3 linked regions of the Coturnix japonica genome follow. The protein of the gene in region 3 interacts with the protein of the main gene of each other region in a pairwise test. Links are inferred from orthologs where the notes say so. Each region holds a gene or a part of one and is shown on either strand. Other genes may lie near its edges.

Region 1 (4,396 bases), on a different chromosome or scaffold from region 3:
CAAGCTCTAAAGAAGGGTTATAATCACATCTGATTAATAGCACAGATTGCAAGGGAGCCTGACAGCAAAGCTGAGAGCTCTTCTTTGCTGGGAGACCTCTGTGCCATAGCCAAGGCTGCTGCCTCAGCTTCCAACCTTGAATCAAGTTCGAATAGAACACAGATGCTCTCCAGGCTTCAAACTCTTGAATACAAAACCAAGAGCTTGTGAATCCTGGCAGCAGAGCAGACTGACACACTTCGTCCCTCAACCTTGCAACACGCTGAGGTGCTGCCATTAAGATAAGAAGGATAAAGCAGCATTATCAGATTGTTGTGGGATTGAACCTGCTGCGGCAGGTGTCCGTGGGGATGAGCTCAGTGTAACACAAACCCCTGGGGGCTGGGGAAGGCACAGCCAGCAGACAGCCCAGCTCTGCCTTCTGCCAAGGTTTTGCAATAGGGGGAAGAAATGCATCATTGCCCTCCTCCTCCCACGCCTCAGCAGTCGGCGTATCCCCTACAGCAACAGCACTGGGATGGCCACGTCTGCACTGAGCTCCTTCTCTCGTTACCACCTGTAAGCATTCCCTGATAAAAAACACTAAACGCTCACTTCAAAGTGGGGGACACAAGTCACAATAAGACACACTGCAGTGCCATGTTCACATGAGGGCTCCTCATAGAGTCACAGCATGGCCTGGCTTGCAAAGGCTCACAGTGCTCATCCAGTCCCAACCCCCTGCTATGTGCAGGGTCACCAACCAACAGACCAGGCTGCCCAGAGCCACATCCAGCCTGGCCTTGAATGGCTGCAGGGATGGGGCATCCGCAGCCTCCTTGTTCCATTTAATGCCTACAGGGATGGGGCACCCACAGCCTCCTTGTTCCAGTGCCATCACTATCCTCTGGGTGAAAACTCATCTCCACACCCAGCAGCACCGCAGCTGTGGAGTGAGGGGAGAAGCCGTGAGGTCTGAGGCACAGGGTGATGGCCGGGATCCTTCAGCCACCAAACAGAGCTGTGTTATTGCACCCCTATGGCCCCCTATGGCCCCCCATGGTCCCCTATGGCCCCCTATGATCCCCTATGGTCCCCATATGCGGCCTCCCCTATGATTCCCCTATGGATCCCCTATGGCCCCCTATGGTCCCCTATGATCCCCTATGGTCCCCTATGGCTCCCATTATGGGCCCCCTATGGTCCACCTATGGGGCCCCCTATGGTCCCCTATGGCCCCCTATGGCCCCATGGTCCCCTATGGCCCCCTATGATCCCCTATGGTCCCTTATGGCCCCCCATGGTCCCCTATGGCCCCCCTATGGCCCCCTATGATCCCCTATGGTCCCCTATGGCCCCCCTATGGCCCCCTCTGGTCCCCCCTGTGGTCCCTTATGGTCCCCTATGGCCCCCTATGGCCGCCTATGGTCTCCCATGGTCCCCAATAGCCCCCACTGTTCCACTCGGTGTCCTCACTTGGACCAATCACATCTCGGAGCGCAGCACAAGCTCCGCCCACTCACACCAAGCCCCTCCCATTATGGGCGGGGCATACGTGCCCTCAGTGCGCATGCGCGTGCCCGTAGCCCTATATAAGGGCGTCCGCAGCGCGCTGGGCCGCAGTTCGCCTTCCGCCCGCCGTGAGGTGACAGCTGCGTGACGTCACTTCCGTCCGGCTGTAGCTGCGGCAGCGAGGAGGAGGAAGGCAGGATGGAGGCGGTGGTTCGGCGCTGCCCGTTCCTGGCCCGGGTGTCTCAGGCCTTCCTGCAGAAAGCCGGCCCTTCCCTGCTCATCTACGCCCAGCACTGCCCTAAAATGATGGAGGCGGTCCCACGAGGCCTCGCTACCTCCGCAGCCCGCGGGCAGCAGGCGGAGGAGACCCCTGAGGCCCAGCCGGGTGAGTAGGCCCCGCTGTGCTGTGTGCATTAGCTCAGTGTCGCTTAATGCTTTGAAACCCAGCGGTCATTGAGTGGGGGTGACTCTGCTGTGGGCACAGCTGGGTTGGGGCCAAAGCCTGAGGCTGCTATGGGCTCATATGGGGCTGTATCACACCCTGGGGAGCCTCTCCTGGTGCTGAGGGTTGGGGTGAAGTGTTTGGAGTAGGAATCTCCCTCTTAAAGGTAAGTGAGGGATTTCAACCTTAGAAGGGTACAGTGCAGGGTTTAGCATCCAAAGTCAGCCCCTCCTTGGGTATCATTAGCATTTCTTATGTAAATAACACATGAATGCCCAGTTAAGTCACTCTGAATGACTTGTGCTATGTGAGAAGTATGCAGAAAAGCTGAAGTAGCTATTAAAATGATAAACCCGAATTGCTTTCCTTTCTCTCTGCCCTCCCCAGAGGCCAAAAAAACCCAGCAGAACACAGATGGGTCACAGCCTCCTGCTGGCCACCCACCTGCTGCTGCTGCTGGTCAGAACTCTGCCACTAAATGCCCGTTCCTGGCAGCTCAGATGAATCACAAGAGCAGCAATGTCTTCTGCAAAGCCAGCTTGGAACTGCAGGAGGATGTGAAGGAAATGCAGGTGGACAGGAAAGGTATGTATGGTATGCATTGGTTCCTTCTGAGAGCCTTTGGTACTTGATTTTCTTCTGCCCCATGCCAAGTGTAGCAGTCATTGAATACCTTATGTAGATAAGGTTATGGCAAATAGCAATAGAAAGTTGTAGAATGCAGGTATTAATGGTGTGCCTGCAGTATTGTGCAGTCATTGCCATGGGTGATCATCATTCAGAAGTCCTGTATGCAGTAGTTTGATACCCTGGTTCAAAGTGTGTGAAGTGGTTCTTTTTTACCCTAAGCAGGCTGCTGGGACAAGAGAGCTTTACCACAGTGCTGTTATAGACGAGGGTGGTAGGTACATAGAGAAGAAACAGGGTCAGGATACTGCTTTACAAATCTAAGCTTGAAAGCAAGTGAGCAGCAGCTCTTTATTCTGTAGAACTGAAGGGTGTTGGCTGACTTGCAATCCTGGTGCAGAAATGCTGTCCTTCAAGGAAGAAACTTTTCACCAATGTCAATAAAACCTTGCCATACACCTCCAAAAGGAAGCCTGTTTTCTCCTTTTTAGTTCTGGAGGTGGAAAGGAAGCTGCCAGTTAGAACTCTGCCTTCAGTTAGCTATGTACCAGTTTGTTCAGATGAGTGCTGTAGCTCTGTAGGATGGGGCTCTGAGTCATGATGTGAACCAAATGTGTTGTAAGGCAATACATGTGGTGGTGTGGTTGCGTTGTATGGGACAAAAAGGGAAACAAACCTTTCTCATCCAAATGACTGACCAGTGCAATGGCTTAATTTGGCAGGGGTAGATCTAGGCGCATGCTTTCTAAAGAATGAGGAGTTAGTTAAAAGTGTTTACCTCTCTAAATTCAACCTAAACACCTCTATTTCAAACTGATTAGCTCACTGTAATCCATTATGATGTCTGTAGGTAAAGAATTTGCCAAAATACCAACTAATTCCGTGGTGAGGAACACTGAGGCTGAGGGAGAAGAGCAGAGTGGCTTGCTCAAGAAGTTTAAGGATATTATGCTGAAGCAAAGGCCTGAAAGTGTGTCTCATCTGCTTCAGGATAACTTGCCCAAATGTAAGACTATCTGGCAATACCCTCTCAGGTCTGCTCCCTTGTGATTACCTTTTTCCCCTGTGTGCTGAAGTCTTTTTGTTTCATTTCAGCTGTATCCACCTTCCAGTATGATCAGTTCTTTGAGAAAAAGATAGATGAAAAGAAGAAGGATCATACCTACAGAGTGTTCAAAACGGTGAACCGAAAGGCACAGATCTTTCCCATGGCAGATGACTACTCTGACTCCCTGATCACCAAGAAGGAGGTGTCTGTCTGGTGCAGCAATGATTACCTGGGCATGAGTCGTCACCCTCGTGTGTGCGGAGCAGTGATGTGAGTAGGGCTGCATTCTTAAGAGATGCATTCAGTTTAGGGGTTGCTCTGCAGCAGCTTCTCTAGGCAGACTTCTGAAGAATTGATTGCGTTATGCTACATAAGCTGCTTCTGATGGTATTCTTGGTATAATTAAGCTTATGCTCCACTCTTCAGCTAGTGCAGGTAACTTCATATTTGGTGTCAGGGCTGCAGAATTTACTTGTCAGTCCTTGCCCTTCATTTCCTCTGAAACCCCAACCACTACCAGTTAGACTGGATGGTGTGTTGCAACTATTCCCAGTAACTGATTCCTTAGTTCAGTGAAACCCTGAGTTATGCAGATTGTTCGAAGACCTTTAAAGCTAACAGCAGCTTTTTGCAGTCCTTCCCTTTTAAGATGACTTAAGGGTCACTGCTGAAGGTACTTCAGTACATATTAATCTCTGTAACAGTTGAATGTTAGTATCACTGATGTATCTTTTTGGGCCCTTTGTAGGGATACACTGAAACAACATGGTGCTGGAGCAGGAGGCACA
Region 2 (4,275 bases), on a different chromosome or scaffold from region 3:
AAATGGGATGTTTCACAACACAAGGCACCTGAACAGCTGCTGCCCCTTCAGTTGCAGAGCAAAGGTGATTCATTTTCCTCATTACTGACAGGTTGTTCACCAAGCAGGACGGTTCCCTGAAATGCATCCACTCAACAGAGACCAAAAAAAGCCCAAGCCTGAACTCTACCAAGAGATGCAAGTACCCAGGTGGGATCCAGACAACCAAAACAATGACCCATGGGATACACAGCACTCACTGCCTCCCCCTCTGGCACTGCACTCTCTGACTGGGGCAGCCCAGCCCAGCACACACCTACGGTCACCTACAGCAGAGCAGCCACTGGTCCAGCCACGCTGCCACCCGTTGCTTCAGACTGAGGAAGGCTGCTGTGCATCCATCACTGCTGGGCAAAATACCCTTCAGAACAACTCCATTCCTCCAGCCTTTTCTAAAGGAACTTTAAATAACTCAGATATGGTGGCAGAACCTCCTTCTTTTGTTGCATACTCACTTGGGGGCAACACACATCTCCACAAATTCCAACAGGTTTGCTGAGATGGTTCATTTCCTAACATAGATCTCAAAAATGCACAGCAGTAGCTCTGTGTATATAGCATGAAATCCTAAAGCACTTGGCTTCTGTAACAGCATCAACAACACTTGGTCATTTACAACTGAACTGTAAATAAATACACTCTACCAATAAAGATAAACAATACTTCAAACTTTATAGACCCGAGGCTATTTACACAGCACGTAAAACACAGCTGAGCAGCGCCTTCATCTTCAACAAATCTTGTTCTATAGCATCTGGGTAGGACCATCTCAAAACCAGCACTCGTTGAAGAGAAAGCTGCTGTTCTTTCTAAGATAAAACTCCATAAGACACGAGAGTTCAGAAGCAATGGAACGGGTCATGAATTAGAGAAAGCTGATGAAGAGCTACGACTTGAAAGTAAAACCTGAAGGAGCAGAAGGGAGCTGACAGATGTGCACATAAACCAGACAGCTCCAAACAGTGCAAGAGAATCAACTAGAAGGTGATGAGGTGATCACCAACAAAGATGAACGCTCACTCACATGGCTGCTTCCAGCTGGGTGCTGCACTTCATATTTGCTTGCTGCTCCCAGAAGTACGACAGGTCAGAGAGCCACAGTTACTAATTACAGCTCACATGGTAACCACACACAGATCTGCTCCGTGGCTCCAGCCACATCTCCAAGAACTCTCACACAATAAGGAACCCCAGCAAGGATTCCAGACAGCACAATGTTAAACACTTGTGAAAGTTCGTGTTGTCCTCAGAACAAATCACTGCTGAAAGAGTCTACTTAAAGTAATCACAAAGAATTGTTATCTCACCTGCTCTGGTGGTTGGCAACCCTGCACACAGCAGGGGGGGGTGAAACTAAATGATCATTGTGGTCCTTTTGAACCCAGGCCGTCCTATGATTCTGTGATAAAACACTTCAGAGCAGCTTTGAAATGAAATTCTGAGCCAATATCAGAAAAAGGTACGTGCAGAAACAATTGTAACTATTTAATCCTAAAGCTTTCACCAGGATGTGATGGTCATCTGCTTAAGTTATGACAGCTACCACCTCCAGAGCAGTCTGAGCACACAGATTTGTTGCTTGGTACCACGATATCTCATTGCAAGATGATAAATGGACAAATCAGGGACGCTCTGCTCCATCACAGCCATCGCTGTGTCGTCAAAACTCACTGTGAAAAGGTTTTTAGAAAGTAATGATCTGTCAGCATGGACGGAGCAGCTGCGCACTGAGGTCGTGTGTCATCGGTAGGATTTAAGAACTTCTTTAAATATACTGCCCTAAAAGCAGGCAGGGGCCTTCCATGCAGGTATCTCATTTCACTGCTATTGATACACCTCGCTGCCTATCAATTCCCAATGACGTTCTTCCAGGTTTGCCTTTAACCTGTCAGAAAATGGACCCAAAAAAAACCACCCCAAAATACAGATCGACGAGAAGCGGCTGTCACTGCTCCCAGCGACAGCACCACCCCACACAGAGCACAAACGGGGCAGAGAGCAATAAGGATGCGACAAGAACTTGTTGCTACCACGGCTCCTGAGAAACTACGTGACGAGAGCAAGGAACGGGGAAACATCATCACTGCAACCGACCGGGACCGGGGGGCAGCCATAGGAGAGCACGGGGCCCGCGGGCAGCAAAGCAGCACTGCCCACCGCCTCCAAGGGGTGAGCGCCGCGATGTCCGCGGGGTGAAGGCTGCGGGCTGCTGTGCTGACACCAACCGGAGGGGTCGGGCGGCTCCTGAGGAGCAGCACCCCGAGAGCCCCCGGCTCACACAGCCCCGCTCCGAGGGCGGTCACCATCGTCCGCACACGCTGAAACGGGACAGGGCCGGGCCGAGGGCAGGCGCCGTTCCGCCCGCTGTCACCTCCCGGTGGGTGCTACCGGGATCCCCCCGTTGTTATCGGCGGGCAGGGCAGGGGCCGCTCCCGTTGCGGCTCTTTGGGGCGGCCCCCCCCGCCACCTGCCCGTTCCCCCCTCAGCTGGGCAGGGCCCGGAGCGGGGCGGGGGGACAGCGGAGCCGGGCCCCTCCCCAGGGCCTCGCTAGGCCCCGCCGCCACCCCCCGCCCCGCTACCGGGGGGAGCCCGGGCCGCCTCCCCCTCACCTGGCTGCCTGGGCTGCGGCTCCCGGGCCGGCTGCGGGGCGGGCCAGCGGGCGGCTCAGTCCATGGGCCGGGTCCCGGGGGGGGCCGGGGGGCGACGGCGGAGGGAGCGGCGGGTACAGGGCAAACACTAAAGAGAATGAGCGGGGCCAGCTCCGGCCGGGGAGGAAGTGACGCCACCGAGGCGGGAGGCGGGGGAGGCGGGCAGCCAATCGGAAGCGCTCAAAGCCCCAAAGGAAACGCCCCTTTCCGCGCTTTCGGCCAATGGGAGCGCGGGACGACGGGAGCACCGCCTCCTTTAGGGCGACTACAAGTCCCGGCGTGCCTCGCGGCACAGCTGCAGGTCGGCTGTGTGTGTGGGACTACAACTCCCAGCGTGCACCGCGGGCACAGCTCAACCGGGACTGCAACCACCAGAGCAGGGTCAGGCCTATATGGCAGGAAGGGACACTGCGAGCACTGAGTGATTTAGGAATATTTTATCGTTCTTAATGGTTAAAAACACAATTTAAATCACGAGTTTATGGTTAAAAACACAATTTAAATCACAAGGTTAAACCCTGTGGTGTCACTAAGTGACATGATGGTAATTTCTGCCATTTCCAGAGCAATACAAACCTGACAGATGGACCTTCAGTCCACTGTAAGCACAACAGCCTCCATGTTCAGTGCTGAGAATCACAAGTACCCACTGAGCTGAAACAAACCACAACCCAAGAACGGATCTAAAGCTTCATATCCATGGGTGTATTTAATACCGCTATGGATTCCAAAGATACCGGAAAGAAAACCTGTGATACACATAACATCAATTGACAACGTAGCAGTTACAAACCATTCTCCATTTATACAGACACATATATCCCGTATCACATTCAAACACCTGCTTGGATGTTCTTGAGGTCTGCTGCATCATCTGTGCTGTTAGATCCCATTCAAGCAACAGTTAAACTTCAGAAGGAAGTGAAATTGTGTAACTGTTACTGTAAAGGCTGAATGTTGTCTGTTACATTAACAGCTTTTTGTGCAGCGAGTTGGGGGAAGAGAGAGAAATACAAAACTATTTCACTGCAAGTTCAGTTTTATTTCCATTCTTAGTGCAGCAGCTTTGGGTCAGGATAGAGGCCTGTTTGCAGCTCACAACTTGTGAGAGTTGGAAGGAAATAAAAGGGATGTGAATTTCTCTTCACAGCTTTTGGAAATGAAAACGCAGTTAAGCTCAATATCCCACGGAGTTGTGCCAAACCCCCTCCATTTTGCTTATCTGGCTCTTCGCTTCCTATTAATTACTTCATAATAACGTATTTACTTCTAATCTCATCTTGAATACAAAACATTAAGTCCAGTATAAGCTTTGACCTCACGTGGCTCATTACTCTGAGAGAAAACTGGGTAAGCAACTCCTGTATTATCTGACTGTGACCTCTACCTTTTGTGGGTGATACTAAACTGGTTTAAAGCCGTTATATCTGCTATTGCCTATCCTTACAGCCACATTTCCTCTAAGTCACAGTAAGGCAGTAATTACTTCATTTAAGTGAATAGGGGGAGGAGGCTAAGGGAAAATAAAGCATTTATTCCATTGCATTTTGTTCTTCTCTGCTTTAATTTTTTTTCTTTGGCTCCTCTG
Region 3 (3,607 bases):
ACAAATTGACTAGGTTTGCCTCAGGATCCTAAGAGGTTTTATGCTTTTGTGATCACCTATATATATATATATATATATAAAAAAATTAAATCCTGATGATTTGTAAACTGAGAACTATTCAGTAAGACTTCCCCGTGGTTTCTATATGCTTTCCATATTTGTGTGGCTGTTTAATGAGGAAAATAAATTCTGCCTCTGTAAGTATAGAAACACATACTGAATTAGACACTAGAGTTGTTGGACTGTAAGAACTAAAACAGAATTTTCTGATAATAATGGTGGGGGTTAAGAAATGTAAGAATTTCAGATTTCCTGGATGTAAATCTCATTTGTAACATATTTCATGTATCGTGCTTAAAAAAAAAAAAAAGCAAAAAAAAACAAAAAAAGCTGATGTCTCAATTCTTTTATTAATGTATCAGTAAAGAAATGTGTTGTTTTAAATTGCTTACAGTACCTTGCAAGCAGAAAATACAGCATCACAGAACTACTAGAGGAATTAATAATGAAATATTTGTCTGATGAGCTTTATGAGAGAAAAAGAATTCATGCTGAAGAAACTGCTGAACACTCAAAGTAAGCTTTATGCCTTCTATCTAGAAAATCTGAGAAATGAGAATGGTTTTTGACCTAGACAGGCTTGAGCAGAGGGCCCAGCTGAACATCATGAGATTGGATAGAACCAAATGCAAGGTCTTGCACCTGAGTTGTGGCATCCCCTGCTATCAGTACAAGCTGGGGCTGAAAGGACAGAGAAAAGCTGTACTGAAAAGCTCCTGGGGGTATTCACTTCTAATGGAAGAATTTCTAGATATGTTTCTTTTAATAGTTATTCCTAGATTCTGCTTAGTTTTTTTTTTTTTTTCAACTAGTAGACCTCGCTGAAACATTGCAAGGGTAAAAACCATAGCTTGGGTTGCGTCATTTAACTTAATCTAAATGGTGAGCTGGTTGCTGTGCATTTGTTAGTTGATGTATATGGCATCAACTAAACCAGAAAGGAAGAAAACAAGAAATGCTCTTGCTCCCACGACAAGTTCTATATTCACTAACTAGATATTTCAGCTCGCTATCCATTACGTATTCAACTCAGTACATAAGTGTTCAGTCACTGTGTTCTTACTGTTAAATGAAATTATTATAATGTAGTTATTATTGGAGTTTGTAACAAGTGTTTTATGACTTTAAATACATACTGTTAAAAAAAAAAAAAAGTATTGGCATTGCTCTGTAATTATGTTTTAAGTCTTGTATTCTTTTGTCATTCTTTTGAAGCTTGACCAAGAATGTTCCAATGTTTGTTTGCACTATGGCATATCCTACTGTGCCTTGCCCTCTACATGTGTTTGAGCCAAGATATCGACTAATGATTCGGAGAAGTATGGAAACTGGGACTAAACAGTTTGGGATGTGTATAAGTGATTCTCAACATGGGTAGGTTTTACATTCTAATAGTAAGCTTCTTTTCTGCCTTTTTTAAATTAAACCAGCTGTCATCATAGTACTGTATAATTACATTACTGATAAAGTCTCTTTTCTAGTTTTGCAGATTATGGTTGCATGCTGCAGATTAGGAACGTTCACTTTCTGCCTGATGGACGGTCTGTTGTTGATACAGTTGGTGGAAAGAGATTTCGAGTTCTACAGAGAGGGATGAAAGATGGCTATTGCACCGCAGACATAGAGTATTTGGAAGATGTTAAGGTATCCAGAATGTTGTCCAATGCTTCTGCTTTTAGCTGCTATCTTAAGACTTTCTTTGTTTGTTTTGAGGGCTCTGTCAAATTTTTAGGTCCATAGAAACGTGGAGGATACAATGTCGGTATAAGGAAGAAATGGAAGATAACCTTTTTTAATTGTTATTATTAAATAAGAAGGAAATATTTTGCTTTTCATTTGAACAGTAGTTTGTGAAGCTGTAACTCTTAAGTATCGGAGGATTTCTTTACAATTCAGCCACTAGCAACCATGGCTTAGGAGAATGCAAAAACTTAACTAAATAGAGTTGTCTTTTTTTATGTTAGCTCAAAAACTATGGCAATTTTCTTCATCTGTAATGGTGTTTTCATAATGTTCCTTGCTAGGCTGCTGATGAAGAAGAGCTGAAGAAACTGAGAGAGCTTCACAACTTTGTTTACAGTCAGGCCTGCAATTGGTTCCAAAACTTAAGAAACAAATTCCGCACTCAAATTCTTCAGCACTTCGGGCCAATGCCTGACAGGGAGGAAAATATACAGGTGAGACATCACTTAGTATCAAATATCAGGTGACTGTTTTTTACCGGGGGAGGGTAGGTGTGGAAAGCCAAAATCCAATTGTTAAAAAGCTGCTAAACATTAAAGAGAAAATGCTTTTTTTTTCCCTCAAATTAAAGGGAAGCAGGACTTTATCTTTTCTTACAGAGAGCAACAAAAGACAGCTGGCAGTTCTCTTCTGCAATAAAGGATGATAGGCTATTTTATAAATAGTGTACTGATAATACTTTCAGTTACAGAAATGTTCTGAACTGTTGGTTTGTGCAAAGTTGTTAGAATTCAAATGGAGAAAAATAGGAAGTGTTTCAGTATTTTCTTTCCTGTGATGTGTGTAGGCAGTAATCTGGGACAGAGGTAATCACAAATAACACTTTCCTCCTTTTGGAGCTAGTGCTGTAAATTGCTGCAGATGCTAGAATTTGGCAAATATTTATGTTAATTTTATGGAACTGGCTTCAGCCATCTGTTTCAATGGTTATTGTAAACAATTGAGGAAGATCAGAGAGATCCTCAAGGAGTGGGGTGGCTGGAAAAAGTTATCTCCTATCTACTACATATTTTTATGAGACCGTTACTGATCTTGGAAGGCTGTAAATACATTGGAGGGCTTTCAGAAATGATCTTAGAACATTTCAATTAAAGACTGGTTTAAAACAACATACGTTAGCAAAGAGGAGTAAGTGCACTCAAACAGAATGACTAGCTCGGCAGCAAGACTGAAGGTATGTGCCTAAGACTTAGACCATTAAGTGTCAACTGTGTGATGAAGGGAGGAAATTTCATTCAGGGATGTACCATTGCCAAGGCTGTTCTTGCAAGTATGTGAGGTAACTGAGGTATTTCTGCACTGCAGTGATTCATCCTCCACTGAGAACTATTATGTCCTGGGCACGATGTCTCAGGCTCCATGTAGAGAATGAAATAAAGCATAGGGAAAAGCTGCAAAGTGTTTTATAAAGTTAGAAGAAACAAGCTAAGCAGTCCTGCTCTGTCTAAAGATAACAAGGTGCAAGTGGAATGCAGTAGTAATAGAGAGTCCCTCAGACGCACCAAAAGATATATGCAATCAGTGTTGGGCATCAAGAACATTCAAACCTGAAGAGTAATGTGACAGATATGAAGTTAGTTTGCATCAGGGAGGTTTACTAGGTGACTGTCCTATACTTGGCCATCCTTTCCTAAAGAAATTGAGATGCCTGCGTTGTCTTGAGAACAATCGATTGCTTTATCAAATGTAGCTTAAGTGCATTTTATTTATAGACTTCTGAGGCAAAGAGGGATCAGAATAGATCAATTCAGAACCCTCTTGGTCTTACAGATCTGTAATTCTCTGGTCGATATCAAAATTCAAA

What was found.
Region 1: the proteins of LONRF1 (region 3) and ALAS1 interact in binary tests that used the Homo sapiens proteins (3 or more experiments, as listed by UniProt). The two-hybrid records come from large-scale screens. The link is inferred for Coturnix japonica from reciprocal best matches to the Homo sapiens genes LONRF1 and ALAS1.
Region 2: the proteins of LONRF1 (region 3) and STAU1 interact in binary tests that used the Homo sapiens proteins (3 or more experiments, as listed by UniProt). The two-hybrid records come from large-scale screens. The link is inferred for Coturnix japonica from reciprocal best matches to the Homo sapiens genes LONRF1 and STAU1.

Annotation. Positions count from the first base shown.
Region 1 is NC_029527.1:1,772,010-1,776,405, forward strand, and holds the start of ALAS1 (5-aminolevulinate synthase, nonspecific, mitochondrial), read left to right. Parts: upstream 1-1,589; 5' UTR 1,590-1,689; coding exon 1,690-1,876; intron 1,877-2,320; coding exon 2,321-2,518; intron 2,519-3,410; coding exon 3,411-3,566; intron 3,567-3,655; coding exon 3,656-3,878; intron 3,879-4,356; coding exon 4,357-4,396.
Region 2 is NC_029535.1:5,664,193-5,668,467, reverse strand, and holds the start of STAU1 (double-stranded RNA-binding protein Staufen homolog 1), read right to left. Parts: upstream 2,808-4,275; 5' UTR 2,649-2,807; intron 1-2,648. UniProt on the Homo sapiens protein: Binds double-stranded RNA (regardless of the sequence) and tubulin.
Region 3 is NC_029519.1:58,374,260-58,377,866, forward strand, and holds part of LONRF1 (LON peptidase N-terminal domain and RING finger protein 1), read left to right. Parts: intron 1-454; coding exon 455-576; intron 577-1,275; coding exon 1,276-1,434; intron 1,435-1,541; coding exon 1,542-1,704; intron 1,705-2,084; coding exon 2,085-2,237; intron 2,238-3,607.